Coturnix japonica: one gene and its partners. The protein of the gene in region 1 binds, or shares a complex with, the protein of each later gene. Links are inferred from orthologs where the notes say so. Each region holds a gene or a part of one and is shown on either strand. Other genes may lie near its edges.

Region 1 (3,514 bases):
TATATCCTGACAGGCTGCAGCCCAAAGTTTGACGAAATTGCTAGTAAAGCCTTTTAAAGTTGCTTAACTCCTGTCTCTTAGTAACTGTTTTGTCACTATGCAAGAACATGAGTAACTAATACTACAAAATACAGTATATAAATAAATGATACAAATAGGAAAGCGGGACATCTGTTTCTTTTTTTCCTATACTTCATCTGCTTGGTAGTATAAATATAAAACATAGTTTCTTCTGTCCAGGTTATTCTTATATCAAGGATATGCACCCAAGGGTATCTTATATACTTGGGTGCATAACACATCCTTCCCCAAACATTCCCTTCAGGATGTTTGTCAGTTCAAACTGGTATTCCCAGGAATGGGAAAATTCTGTCAGGCTATGTAAACTTGGTGAGGCTGTATCGCCACAGTCAGTACTGCTCTCCTCTGTGTGCCCACCAGAAGCTGTTCAGATTCATAGCCAGAGTCCATTACCTCTAAGAGACCCTGTAGCAGCCACCTCCCCATAAGCTCAACACAGCGTAGGATCTTAACTTGCCGTTTGGTTGCCCAAGCGTAAGGGAAAAAGGAAAGCACAAAGATTCACAGATGACTGGAGGATAGCTCATTAATAGCAAGACAGAACTGTATCCAAGACTGATTAGTAAGCAAAACATAAGTTATTGGAGGGAGATGTAATGACGTAAAGTGACAAATGTGCCTTCAATTCTTATTTCAGAGCCAAGGGGAACGTCTCCTTTCCAGAGAAGCCCCTGAAGAATTGAAGCAGCAGCCTCTTGCTCTCGGATACTTCGTGTCGACTGCCAAAGCTGAGAATCTTCCGCAGTGGTTCTGGTCATCCTGTCCTCAGGCACAAAACCAGTGTCCTCTCTTCCTGAAGGTCTGTCTTGCTGATCTTTCTCAGTGGAAAGGGGGGAAGAATTGTATTTAGATCCTACACAATTCCTTTGAAAATGACAGCTTTGTGTTGCTTCTTCTGACAGTTGGAAATAATGAAGAAATACATTTCCAGATATAAATTCACTGAAGACAGCTGGCTATTAGCATTTACTCTCTATTACCTGAAAATTGAATAGTTTGGCAGCTTCTAAATACAAAATCATCAATGCTGTATCCAGTCTTCCCCAATTTTAATTTCCTAAATTTCAGTTAGCCCACGACAGGAGACGCATTACCTCCTATTCTGCCATATCATATCATAATACAGAGATGAAAAGGTTAGAGAGCAGCACTCCCACACAGAGCTTTTGCTATGTGTTCCTATTCCTGTAGATGTAAAAAGTTGCATGGCGTTGTCTGTAGTATCAGAGTTTATCTGGTATTTGCCAATGCAGAAGACTGCTGTTTCTTGCAAGAGGTACTGGTATATTGCTTGCAATAGCTGAACTGGATCAAATACTACAGATTCATTCACCACTGTAGAGTGACATGCTGTTTTTTACTGGGATGTTGTCAGCTAGTGAGCGTGGAAAAAAGGTGAAAAATCTGCCTTGGATAGAGTCATGTGGATACTCGAGCAAGCAAAATAGAAAGTAATTAAGATAGTAACATTTTATTTATCCATTCTCAGCTTAATTGACACATACAAAGCATTTCGTGAAGTCTCTTAGCTAAATTCTCTCAAACATGTATATCAGGCAGTCATCAGAGTAAAGGTGTATAATATTTCTCAATTCTTATGCCAGAAAGCCATTTTAGGACTGATAATTTGAGAATGATTGTTGCAGTTGGTGTGGCAGGCTTTATGTTCATTTCAGCATCTGTTGGCAAAGTACTGCAGTACTCAGTTAAATGAGATCACCTACCAAGTTCCCCACGTTTTCATAGAGGCTTCCCAGAATTATGTGCTTCACTCCAAACCTGTGGAATAGAGATCTCAAACTAATGTGAAAAATAAGGCACTGTATTTTTGGACCTAGAGATGAAGTTTTATCCTAAACTTAAAACTACCTTTCTTTGTGAATGAGTAATAATACAAAAGCTGTGTTTCAGTTCCAGCTTTAAAAACACAGCAGAGCTCTAGGCAACTCCATGAATTCCTTCTGTAAGCCTATGCTAGATTTATACTGGAGAGAAGGAGCCACCACCCTTCCCCCTTAACCCAACGCAATTGCTTTCTCAGATCCAAGCTGAATTAAATGTTTAATTTGACTTGGAATGTACTGTTACGGTTTGGACAATTTTTAATAAAAGCAAGGGGCTGAATTCGTGCAGTAACTTGTAAGTGCTCAGAGAGCAGCTGGTGCTGTCTCCTTTGTGCTGCATGGCGCTGCAGTTAGGAAACCTGCACAACACGTGAGACGTAAAGATTTAAGTCATCTCTGTCTGATTTGGATTAAGTCTTTTTGAGCTGAAGCATTCCACCTCTGAGGTGCATGCTGCAACTGGCAGAGCACAAACTCAAGGTCTTGCCCCAGCAGGCCATGTGGTCTATTGAGTTACCCACTTGAAAGGCTTACATGGTTGCCTCTACCCCTGGCACATGATCAATATGAAATCGCTTTTCTGTTCCTGTGTAAACCAAGGCACAAACCTCACTCCAGAAACAAAGACTGATTGCTATTCAGAAGGCACGGTAGCAGAGAGCAAGAGGAAGGCTGTGCTGTGTTCTGGTTGGATATCTCAGTCCGTGGTGGGTCTGGTTCTCCGTGGTGGGTCTACTAAATGGGAGAGTTTGAAGAATTAAAATCCTATATTGCTGAAATGCAAAAAGAAACACTGACATACTCCAAGTGTTTTCCCTCATCACTTCTTCCCTGACTGAAATTAAGAGTGGAATTCAGGATGCTTTTTAAAGGTCCTTAATTCCAATCAGAAAAAGCAGTCATTTTATTCAAAAGTGTAATCGTTATGGAACTTCAAAATGCACTTGGTCCTGGTGGGTTCCACAGAGAACTGCCAGCTGTCCTGAGACAATTCAGGGCGTATTTGTTCACTGTGAATCTTCATACTTGCTATGCAAAGAGTTAAATGGTTCTTTTTTGTTTCGTTTGATTTTACTTTCACAGGCCTCGTTGCATCATCACATCTCCATAGCACAGACAGATGAACTACTACCTGCCAGAAGTTCTCAGCGAGTTCCTCACCCCCTTGACTCTAAAACTACATCAGATGTCTTGAGGTAATGCCTTCTCACTTTTTGCATTTCATCTCTTGACTTATGGGGACTCAGGAATGAAATTTCAGAGGGACCTTTTTTTATGCTTATCAACAGTTTACACCTCTATTATATCCTACACGTGTTTTTTAATAAACAAAATTACATATTACATATACCACAGATCCTATGATCACAACAAAAGAACAGAGCTTTGAGGGTTACTTCTTCACTTTTCTATCCTACTCTGCAAAGCAATGAAGAGGAATAATTTGTGCCTTACAAAGAGAGTGCCTTGGTTTGCCTCCCAAAGATGATTTGTTTTAGCTGAAAGTCTGAGCTGGCCTGTGTAAATAATTATTTTTAGTCACCAAATCAAACTGAGTTATCAAAGGAGGTAGAAGTTCTCTCCTGATA
Region 2 (4,032 bases), on another chromosome or scaffold:
TTTACAAGGTGCACTAGAACTGGAGTCTCCAGTATCTCTCCATTATTTTAGTCATTTAGTGCCTTACTCAAGTACCTGAAACAGTGAGCGCTGTACCTTTTCCATACACTGTAACTTAATACCTTCAGTAACTACAAGGCTAGAAAACAGGGAATCCAATAACAATATAAATACATACACGGAGCTGATTAAAATAACTTTTATAAATACTAGATTTCATTAAAACAAAAACTAATTAATTAAATAGCTCTTTCCAGAGCTCATTTGAAGTAAACAAAAAAAATTTCAATAACTGAGTTTAAACATTAATTAAAAAAATGAAAAAAAACGATTCTTTGTGTAGCTATCAACAGGGCAAAAATCACTCTCAGAATGTTCTTAATGGGCTGAAGTAGTTTTGTCCCGTGATGTTCAGTAATCTTGCTTTATGCAGATAGAAGGTGCAGATAAAGGTTGCAAATGGAAAATTCCATGCATATGTCAAGAATGAAACGTTCTTTAATTGTGCCTATCCCAGACTACAGGAAACAGGAAAATTTATACTGCATATAAACACAGTGCATGTTTTGGCTGCAGGGAGAAATCAAATATGCACATGCTACTTTACAGTGCATAAGAGAAGGTAAAAATCATTAAAATGCAGAAACCTGAGGGCTTTTAATACTTACTTCAAGTATTTTGCATATTCAGGTTCTTTCCAATACAGTAAATATTTAAGATAGTTTACAAAAGCTTTGTCTTTGAAGTATCCTCTTTGTGCAAGAACTGAAATAAGAGACAAGGAATTTTTTACAACTCAATAAAAAAAAAACACAAAGGGAAAAATATATCTTAAGTCAACACTCTAATACAAGTTAAGCATAGTGAGTTAGCATATAACTTTTATACAGCAACAAGGATGCGATGTCTTCAAAAATAGGAACTTCTGACATCAAAACTGTCAGGGAAAACCAAAGAAATTAAGAATTCCACCTGAAACTATTATAAGCATTAGTGAAATGTTGGTTTCAGATATGAGTACTTCTAAGATTGAAATGTAATTATTATTATTTATTTTCTACTACAGATGTGCACTTATTCTCCACCAGACAGTTGTGTTTTATTTCAAGAAATAATCATTTCACATTTTAAAGGTGTCATCTCCTCCCTCTTCTACCTCACCTTTGAAATTCGGACAAATTAAATTATCCTCAGACTACTTTTTTCCTTAAAGATCTCTTCCCTTTTCTTTGTTTACCCTTCGCCTCTGCACACACACACACACACACACACACACACACAGTTTACCATTACACGTAATCATTAAACTGTTAAATAACATTAACTTCTCAGGATCCCTGACATTAAGTACTCACAGTTGAGGTAATTGGGATTTGCTAGGCACTGAACAAACTCCAACTCCAACTGGAACCTAAGTCGATTTCCTGTATCATCTGAATACAAGAGAAAAAAAAAAAACAGTAAAAACTGGACTTACATGGCAGATTTAAAAGTAAGTTTCTCAACTTGAGCCACAAAAATAGAAACGTTTAGAGAGGAGATAAAGCACCAAGAGCCCACAAGTATGGGCTCATCTAGCAGTCTTTTCTATTACATGAATAAGTGTTGGGCCCATGTTAATACATGTACTATTGTTTGTTTGTTTTTTTAACAACTAAAAACGATGCAAATAATGGAGAAATGCTCTCTGACACTTTATGTAGAATATATGAAAAGGGAAGGGAAAGGGGCCTGCTTTTAGTGCAAGGAAAATATAAGAAGGCAAGAAAAGAACACTACCAGCAGCTCACTGAAAGCCTCCTTGCACATAATTTAAGAAATGCTTACCGTGAGGCTGCTTTTTGTTTTGTTTGTTTTGTACAGAGATGTCTCAGTTTAGTGAGAATCCTGCAGTGTTCTCACACTATTGGTGTACAGTAGGCACTGATGACAGACCCAGGGGTCAGCACAAGATTCTGCTGTCCTATGACAAAAGGGTGAGGGAGCTGGGCTTGCTCAGCCTGGAGAAGGCTCAGGGAGATCTCACTCTGGTCTTTCAGCGTGGAAAGGGAGCTTATAGAAAAATATGTTGACTTTCCACCCTGACTGAAAACAACAGAACAAGAAGGAACAGCTTTAAACTCAAACAATAGGAAACTCAGGTTAGATGTTAGGAAGAAATTCTTCTCCGAGGGGCGGTGAGGCCCCGGCACGGGCCGCCCCTCTCTGTGGGGGCCCCATCCCTGGAGCTGCACAAGGGAAGGCTGGAAGGGGCACCGCGCAGGCCGCTCTGGCGGGAGGTCCGATCTGTAAATAAAGTCCCCTCCATCCAAACACTCGGGGTCTATAAAAGATTCAGCTCCTCGACCACAGATGCAACGTGGGATGTCCGCTGCCATGGCGTCCGGGCAGGTAAGAGCCGCGGTGTCTCCATGAACGTCGCGAAGGGCCCCAACGGGGCCAACGGCCTGAGAAGGGCCAAGCCGGGAGGGCAGCGCAGCAGGACCGCCCCGGGCCCCTCCCGAGGAAAACGATTCGGAGCCTGTCGGCCCATCGCTCCCGAACCGCCCGAACTCTGCACGGCAGGACCACCGACGCTCTCCGTGGCCCGGAGTCGCTCGCCCTGCCCGAACCGCACCGCACCGCGCCGCTCACCTGCGTCCATGGCGGCGTGCTGGGCTCCGCTCCCCGCCCGGCCTCAAAATGGCGGCGGGAGCGCCCGCTGTCGGCAGGCGGGAGTTAGGCGGGAGGCGCAACGAGGCAAGATGGGAAGGTCTGTGGTGGTGAGGAGCTGCGTTAATGATGCGAGTTGTGTAGAAAATGACCTTTTGAAATAAACTAAAGTTGGAGCAACTTTTTTTCCCCTTGTCTTGAAAGAGAGCTGTTACCAGACAGGCAGTACGATTGGAAGGTACCTGTAGGAGCAATGTTCTGGGATGGATTTTTTCCTAGGCATGTGTGTGCTTTTCTTTCTTCCCTTTCCCCTTTTCCTTTTTCCCTTTTCCCTTTCCCTTTTTCCCTTTTCCCCTTTCCCGTTCCCTTTCCCCTTTCCCCCTGGCAGCTCATGCTGAGCTGATCTCACACAACCTCTGCAGTTTATTTATTAAGAAGTTATGTCGTAGTGAAACCAGTTAAACAGATGCGCCAGGGGTGCAGAACAGCACTATGCTATTGCACCTGGAGAAGAGTTCAGCACTTAGGTTGCAGATTTATTCCTAATGCTGCATTCATGTCTGGGGTCACACACTGGATGTTCATATCTTGGTTAAAACAAAGACTGGTGGGGTTTAGCACTGTCAAGCTACCTGAGTTCCATTGCTGCTATGATTGCATTATTAGGCACTTGTGTAACAGTTTGCACTATACAGGCTCAACACGAATCCTAATTCTTTTTTAAAATTTGTGATTTGTTAAACTATTTTCAGTGTCTCAGCATTTTCCTGTAGTGCTATCTCTTTCTATGTAGTGTAACTGTTCCCCTCCAGCCCCAATAGAAATTAGGCTATAAGACCACCTAAAAAAAGACTTCTGCATTGCTTTCCTTAATAAAATAATTTTGTGTTTTGTTTCTTTTTTCCCCAAGGTTTTAGTGGTTGTGGAGTACTACCATTACTATAACAGAATTAGCAGGTCACTCCCCAGTAAATACAGACTTTTGTCTAAAAGCAGAGATCAAACATATCCCACGCATTGGCAGTGCTATTCTGGAACACGATGTATCTCCCAAGACTGACTTCAGAGGAGAGAATCCTAAGAAAGGCTTGGTCACATGAATTAAATTACTACGTAGGTTTGCCAGAGTAAAGTGCAAGAACGCAATTCTTGGCCATCAAAACTAGGAACAAAATTGAAAGTTGGAGTCATATTACAAAAACTAAGAACATTCTCTAGGAAAAGCTGGATTTATTTATGCTTTTAAATATTAGCTTAGTCAGACTTTCAGGGAAGAGGTATTAAGCTGTGTGTTTGAGCCAAGAATTTTCCTTTTTATCATCATCAAATCATAACATCACTGCCTCAGTTTCACTTTTTATAGGAGCTGAACTGCTAACC
Region 3 (4,109 bases), on another chromosome or scaffold:
CAGCCTGGAGCAACCTTGGATACCATAAACTGGTCTATCATGAAACTCTCTATAACTTAAATTGGAATGATAGAAAGCTACCATTCTTTATTATAATCAAGTCTGGATGCATGGGTGTTGAGCTCCACCACCATTTTGTGCATACCTTGCACAAAAGATATTCAGTTCATTTACATTACTTGTGTTACATACCCAGAGGTTTTCCCAGAGGCATATACATATTCAATACTTGCTTTCACAATGGATTCCAAGCAGAACTTCCTTATCTACTTAGTACAAAGACTTAACAGAACTCTATCTGTTTGGTACAAAAACACAGACTCTTCCTGTTGTCTAAACAAATGACAGGGTTATCCATCAAGAGACTTACCAAGCTTAATGATATCATTACAGCTTGCACCAGCTCCTGTCCTCCTGCACCAACGCAGGGGGCTGCTGGGCTGTTTCTCTCACATTTCTCACTCACATTGCCCAGTACAGATGCTTTCTCTTTTCTTTAGTTCGTTTTCCCAATGGGACACACAGTGTTGCTTGTGGCTGAGTTCTGCCCAGCATCAGGTCTCTGTTGGAGCAGCTGGAGCTGGTTCTCATCTGATGCGAGGCAGTGCTGGTCCCTGCTCACAGAGGCCATCTCTGCAGTTCCTACTGCCTTGGCACACAAACCCAATACAATGAGAGTTAATTCATGATCTCAGTCACTGTTGGGACGTCTTATGGAGTTCAAAACTACCTTGTAACCCAATTTTAATGATAAAAATGGGCTTGGTACATCTTAGGGCATGCTGAAGACATGGCTGAAAACTGCTGTTATCCTGTGAGCTAACAGATAGGGTCCTCACGCTATAAAATGCACTTGACAACCTCTTCAGGCCTCCATTTCCCATCCTATGATGGGAATGGATTTTGAGTTTGACAAAAAATTGCGGTAGGTAATTCTCTTCAGTGCTACCATTTAGTAAATAGACCAGCCAATCTGCCCACTGTGAGCAAGAGCTGCTCCTACACGTTACAGAATCACGCAGAATCACAGAATGACCCGGGTTGGAAGGGACCTCAAGGATCACGTAGTTCCAACCCCCCTGCCTGGCAGGGCCACCAAACATACACCTTTACTAGATCAGGTTGCCCAGGGCCCCGTCCAACCTGGTCTTGAACACCTCCAAGGATGGGGCATCCGTCGTTCGACTGATAGAACTAACAGCAGCCTCGGCACAGGGATGCAGTGCTGACCCTCCATACCAGCACCCAACACATACACGCACTGCTGTACGCGCAGGCGCTGCGCTCACCCCGCTCCGCCGGAACTCCGTGACAGCCGGGGGGAGGGAACTTCCGTCGGGAAGGGAGTCCTGCCGCTCCGTGTCCATCTAACGGAGGGCCCGGTGAGGCCCGGCCGGGGCTATGGTGCCTATGGAAACGCAGCTGCAGAGCATCTTCGAAGAGGTGGTGGTGAGTGTGTCCCGGCCGGGCCGCGGCCTTTCTAGGCTGCTCAGCCGGCATCCCGCAGTGGGCCCTGTGCTCTAGGGGAGCTGCTTCCTGAGGCCCGCGGTTGGGGGCGAGCGGCGGAGGAGGTAAAGAAAGGGAGAAGGGGTTGGGGTATCGCCATGGCTGCGTGGTGCGGGGAGAGGCCGGCGCTGGGAAGGCTGCCCTCATCCTCGGCTGTGTGCGGTGGGACCGCGGAGTGCGGTGCGGAAACGATTCCTCAGAGCAAAAATTCCTTCTCTGAGCGGTTCTGTAAGGCGTTTGAGGCTGGTGCTGAATTAGGGGCAGCTTGCAAGGAGAAAGAATCCATCTGCATAGTGGAAGGGGAAGAAGATGAGCTTAGAAGAAGGAAAAGATAAGCAGAACTATGAGTTAATTAGCAAGGCAACTCTGTTGGCAGTTTCTTAGTAGATTTAGGTAGCTCGTGGATATTAGTGAGTGTTGTGGCTAGAAATACTGGGATGATATTTGATGAGGATGTTCAGAACAGGAGCTTGATTGATGTCAGGTGGAACCAGCAGTATCTGGTCTGGAAGGGATGCGTATGTCTCCTAGAGCAATGCAACTGAAAATCACAGAGTGAATGGTTTGGGCTGGAAGGGACCTTTAAGATCATCTGCTTCCAGCCAGTTCCTGCTGAAGACAGGAACACCTCTCTCTAGACTAGGTTGCTCAAAGCCCCATCCAGCCTGGCATTGAAAGCTTTCAGGGAGGGGGCATCAACAGCCTCACAGGGCAACCTGTTCCAGTGTTACCATTCTCACAGTAAGGAATTTATTCCTAATATCTATTCTAAATCTACTCACCTCCAGTTTTCTCCCCTTGTCCTGTTGCTGTCTGCCTTTGTAAAAAGTCCCTCCCCAGCTGATGTGAAAATGGTTGGAACACTGAGTTTTTCTTTCTGTGTGTGAATTATAAAATGCAAATGCAATATATGCTTTTCTTTAAGTGATGTTAAGCTTATGGAATGCTTTTTGTCCATACTTGATGATTTGTTTGTTTTGTTCTTGACATTGTCATTTTGTTCTTGACATGTTATTGTCACACAGGCTTTATGAGGAGCGGCTGAGAGAGCTGGGATTGTTCAGCCTGGAGAAGAGGAGGCTCAGGGGAGACCTTATTGCTCTCTATAACTTCCTGAAGGGAGGTTGTAGTGAGCTTGGGGTCAGCCTTTTCTCTCATGTAGACAGTGATAGAACTAGAGGCAATGGTTCCAAGCTGCGGCAGGGGGAGATTCAGGCTGGACATTAGGAAGTATTACTTCTCGGAAAGGGTAGTCAGGCATTGGAATGCACTGCCCAGGGAGTTGGTGGAGTCACCGACCATGGGAGTGTTCAAGAAACGTTTGGATGTTGTGTTGAGTGATATGATTTAACTGGGAAGTATTGGTGATGGTTGGACTGGATGATCTTTTAGGTCTTTTCCAACCCTGAGAATTCTGTGATTCTGTGTTCTGTTTTTGCATGTTTAACACCATGATTTGACTGTGTGGTCACTGCCTTTCTTTTTTTTTAGCAGTATTTTTTTTGCCTGCAGTTGTTAAGGGACAACAAAGTCTTAAGCTTTCCTTGCATTTGCAGCTGAGAAAATATCAAGTTGTCACATTCACTGCTTCTATTACTGACTGAATGGACAGCAGTGAAACTTAAGTTTCCGTGCACAGTGGATGAATATCATGTTCTCTTGAGGTGTTTCCAGGCCTTGCAATTTGAAAGGATCACCATAATTTCTTTATTTTTCAAACACTGTTTATTTCTTCCATGTAATGATGGAAACACATAGTGGTTACCGATCACATCTGAGTGTAGTATGAAATTTCTATAGAAAGCAAAACAATCTGTAGGGTACTATTTTCAGGAATTTTGCCTATGCATTAGGATAATGCTGTAGAAACTTAATCTCTAAGTGTGAAAGAAGAGCTCAAGTTGCAGAACTGAACAATTTTTCCAACCTTGGGACATAAAATAATCTCTGGGTGTTTATAGGGAGGGGAACAGAGGAGCCTTAACCTGGATCCTCAAAGCAAGCAGCCTCAATGTTGAGACCTGAGCGTAACAGAAGAAACGCACCTGCTTCTGATTCAGTCCTGAAACAGTAGGATTGTTTTTCTTCAGTGTTGTTGCATCCTGGTAGTGAGACAGTCATAGAGAGCCTTTTCAGTCATACAGAGGAGCTATGAGATATGGTTTAGTGGCTTGTGGTAGCAAGGGCAATGGGAGGACAGTTGGACTAGATGATCTCGTAGGTCCTTTCCAACCTTGTGATTCTGTGATTCACAGTAACTCACTTTAGGTTTTTCTCTTGCAGAAAACTGAGGTAATAGAAGAAGCTTTTCCTGGGTGAGTGTAAATGTTAGTTTACTTTCGTGACTTTCTGTGTATATTTCTATTTGTGCTCTTCCTTTGCTGTAGTGCTAATAACCAACTTTCTTATTTGAATTAGTATGTTTATGGACACTCCTGAAGATGAGAGAACCAAACTGATCAGCTGCCTGGGTGCTTTTAGGCAGTTCTGGAGCAGTCTTTCCCAGGTTAACATTTCATTTGCTTCTTCAGTATACTTTATATACTTTTGGGGGGCGGTGGAGGGGAAGATCGGGGTATAGTAAAACTTTGAGTAAAGGACAA
Region 4 (3,299 bases), on another chromosome or scaffold:
TCATCTTTAGCTACAGCGATCTCAATCCCACCACCCAATGGTTAAAATCTACCTGCACATTTAAATAAATCTGCATGCCTGAAAACAGCTGAATTATCCAAGTTATAATTTGCATAACGAGAGTTACAAGTAGTTATAGTAAGTTCCCTCATCCACAAAGTTGATTGTTTCTTTTCTTTCTCTCTTTTTTTTAAAGGTGCTACATCTAGTTTGGAAAGCAGACATGCTACAGACAGGAGGGCTTGAGTAACGAAGCCACTTATCCATTATCAAATCACTCTTTGTGCCATGGGCTTGATCCAAGTCCAGTTCTCTTTAAACACAACTGATGTAGCTTCCATTTGACAGACTTCAGGCACAGACAAGTTACACCACATTACATGTGTAATAAAGCAATTCTTAAGTTCTTTAACATTGTTACATTACTACAAAAAGTTAGAAAGGAATGGATTTCTCAGGCTTCATATTGATTTCATCTTCAATCTAGAATAACTGAAAAGACCCATTTAACGTGTAAACAACTAACATTTATTTGAAATGCAGGAATTGTCAGCTTCCATTTCAGTCAGCCAAACCCCCTGCTTCCAGCAGCACACGGCATTTACAAAATGAAGCACATCCCAGAAAGCTGCAAGTGACAAAACAACGTTATACAAAAAACCTAACAGCATCCACGCTGCACAAAGCAGAGTTATGTTTTGACCAATACACATATAACTCACACAAAATATTAAATATCCTCACCTGCTTAGCAGCTCACACCCACCCCCCAAGTCAGTGTGAACGCTTCAAACAAAATACAGCATGTACCCTCAGAATCCATTTGGCCTCTCTCTATTGTAAGTTAACATAAGACACGATTCCTTCATGTCATTTCATCAATAATGCTGCACATAGCTGCATCTTTGTCTAACACCTGATCTCTCTTGCAGCCAGAACGTTCTCTCTGTTTTTCACTCTGTCCAATGCAGTTGTTGCCGTCATCAGTGTCCATTGGTTCTGTTTTCACTCCCAGTCCCCCCTCTGAATGAGGAAGATCATCAGGCAAGGACGCCAGGCAGTTCTGAATCATCTCCACAACTCGCTCTAAATGCTTCTGAAATCGCTCTGCAGTTTCCAGACGCTGACGTTTCTGCACTTCCATCATGACTCGCAGGGTCTCCCTAGCTTGGTGAGGACGGTACTCGTTTATAAGATGATGGACGTGAACAAAAAGCAGTTTCAGGTCCTCCAGTTTCTCTTCTCGCTTTATACTCCCCGGACTCCTTATCAAGATATCCAAGAGATCCAAAAAGTTGACTAAGATAGACATGTTCAGTTTCCTCAATTCCTTTTTGTGATCAAACTGCATGGGATGCAGCCGCTCAATACCCTGGCTTTCCAAAGGTCGGATAATTAAATCGTCACACTGGAACTGATTACCAAACATCATGTAACTGTCTTTCACAGGTGGAGGTGGCTTTGGGGCCAGACCTTTGCGTATGTTTTCATCGGTGTATTCCTTTATATACTGCATTGGAGGCGGAGGGAGGGCACTCACTTGCTGAGGTTCACCCATCTTTGGGGATTAAAATACCTAGTGGATAGAAAAGAAACGTGCATTACATAACTTATGCGACAACTCCACAGCACGCATGAAGCTAAGAAAACAAACCAGACAGGAGATTCTTCAGCACGCAAATAGCAGGAAACTCCCCAATAAATCCACGTCAGCTTTGCACTGACATACACAGCACATTAAGCACTTCTCAAACCAGACCTGCCAACGAGGAGGCACAGAAGGAAGGAGAGGCCTGATCCGCTAAGCCCGCATCCCAGGGCTGGGAGCGGCAGACAACGGCAGGCAGGGAGAGGCAGCCCTTAAAGCAGCACCCCCCTCCCCCCCGGCCCATCACTACAGCACGGCTCCGGGAGGGCCCAAAGCCGCAATGCTGAACAGAAACAAAGGCTGGGCCGGTCCTACACACAAGGCCCAAAGAAAACACCCCACTCACCTGCACACCGCGCTGAAAACACCACCGCCACCACCGACACCAACACCTCACATCCGGCAACTGCTCTCCTTCCTCCTCCCCTCCATTGGCTCGCAGCTCAAATGGCGTCGTAGACTTTGGTTGGATGCCCGCAATGCCAGTCAGGAGCTCGTTCCACTCACAGCCTGGGCTATGGCGCCCTATTGCGGCTGCCAGGGGCACGGCAGGGATCTCAGCGGGGGTCCCAGCAGGGTCCTCTAATGGCAGAGATCCTCGAATGGCAGAGATGGGAGCGGCCGGCCCGACTCTTGTCGGCATCAGACTCCCTGTGAGACCAACTTCTGCATGAATTGGTGTTTAGTATTTGGTATTCCAGGACTGCTTTCATAGACTCGTAGAACTGCCCTCGTTCAGACGCTTCCTGGACTCTGGTGAGCTCAGTGCCCAGACCGTGGGGAGCCGCCGGTGTGATGGCAATGCTTTAACTGCTGAATGATGCAGGGAATATATGTAGAGCTTCCATGCAACAGAAATTTGGGTGTTATTCCATCACAAAGTGAAAGCATCACCCTGGGAAGTGTTAGCATCCTTTCTATAGCTGAACACATGCAGCCTGGATGCATAAAGTCTGCAACAAACCGATGGAACTTCTTGCTTTTCTTCCATTTCTTTGTTTAAGACAGATTTTAAGGAAAAAAACAACTATCTGTGTCTTCCATATTGCCGTGGGACCTCGGGCTGGCTGGCAGCGCTTCTGCAGATGGCCACTGGTCTGGCAATGCGGCTTTTGTGCTCTGATTTCCTTTTTTCCTCAGCAGATGGCAGTAACCTCCTTCATAAGAAGGAATAAGGGTAAGAGAGCCGCTGTCTACGTGCCCTATCAAGGGCAGAGTTGTTTCTAAATATTACTTCAGTGCACTCTCACTACTTTGTAGGATTGGCAGGTGTTGGTTTGCAGAGCAAACTGTTGCAACTCCAAACCCCACAGACAAGGAGTTAAAAGCACCACTTCTAGAGAGGAATGAGAAAACCCACCTGGTGGGGGATATTAACAAGTCTTTGCTATTGTTAGACTTTCCAGACTTTGATTTCACATTCTCATACCACGAGCTGAGCTCGATTATCAGCTGCCTTGCACTCTGTGAACTGCTCAGTACAGCTCTCAGTGCTGTGACTTCAAAAGGTAGCAGGGAGCCAAGCATTTGTTTTTCACACGTCCTTTTGATCTTGAGTCATTTTCCTAGTTTGCACGTAGAGGCCAACAAATGCAAAAAGAAAAAGGGGTTTCATTTTCATTCTTGGTAGTATGACTGAGATGACTGAGAA

Evidence for each region. The genes of interacting proteins can lie anywhere in the genome.
Region 2: MED13L (region 1) and MED31 share a complex: the UniProt entries of both Homo sapiens proteins name them as parts of the mediator complex. The link is inferred for Coturnix japonica from reciprocal best matches to the Homo sapiens genes MED13L and MED31.
Region 3: MED13L (region 1) and MED23 share a complex: the UniProt entries of both Homo sapiens proteins name them as parts of the mediator complex. The link is inferred for Coturnix japonica from reciprocal best matches to the Homo sapiens genes MED13L and MED23.
Region 4: MED13L (region 1) and MED7 share a complex: the UniProt entries of both Homo sapiens proteins name them as parts of the mediator complex. The link is inferred for Coturnix japonica from reciprocal best matches to the Homo sapiens genes MED13L and MED7.

What each region holds. Positions count from the first base shown.
Region 1 is NC_029530.1:10,495,383-10,498,896, forward strand, and holds part of MED13L (mediator of RNA polymerase II transcription subunit 13-like), read left to right. Parts: intron 1-718; coding exon 719-880; intron 881-3,008; coding exon 3,009-3,121; intron 3,122-3,514. UniProt on the Homo sapiens protein: Component of the Mediator complex, a coactivator involved in the regulated transcription of nearly all RNA polymerase II-dependent genes.
Region 2 is NC_029534.1:8,576,565-8,580,596, reverse strand, and holds the start of MED31 (mediator of RNA polymerase II transcription subunit 31), read right to left. Parts: upstream 2,806-4,032; 5' UTR 2,645-2,805; coding exon 2,635-2,644; intron 1,434-2,634; coding exon 1,356-1,433; intron 766-1,355; coding exon 669-765; intron 1-668. UniProt on the Homo sapiens protein: Component of the Mediator complex, a coactivator involved in the regulated transcription of nearly all RNA polymerase II-dependent genes.
Region 3 is NC_029518.1:51,917,776-51,921,884, forward strand, and holds the start of MED23 (mediator of RNA polymerase II transcription subunit 23), read left to right. Parts: upstream 1-1,304; 5' UTR 1,305-1,401; coding exon 1,402-1,449; intron 1,450-3,789; coding exon 3,790-3,821; intron 3,822-3,924; coding exon 3,925-4,012; intron 4,013-4,109. UniProt on the Homo sapiens protein: Required for transcriptional activation subsequent to the assembly of the pre-initiation complex. Component of the Mediator complex, a coactivator involved in the regulated transcription of nearly all RNA polymerase II-dependent genes.
Region 4 is NC_029528.1:6,561,717-6,565,015, forward strand, and holds MED7 (mediator of RNA polymerase II transcription subunit 7), read right to left. Parts: upstream 2,101-3,299; 5' UTR 1,995-2,100; intron 1,788-1,994; exon of another isoform or gene 1,760-1,787; intron 1,577-1,759; 5' UTR 1,559-1,576; coding exon 866-1,558; 3' UTR 506-865; downstream 1-505. UniProt on the Homo sapiens protein: Component of the Mediator complex, a coactivator involved in the regulated transcription of nearly all RNA polymerase II-dependent genes.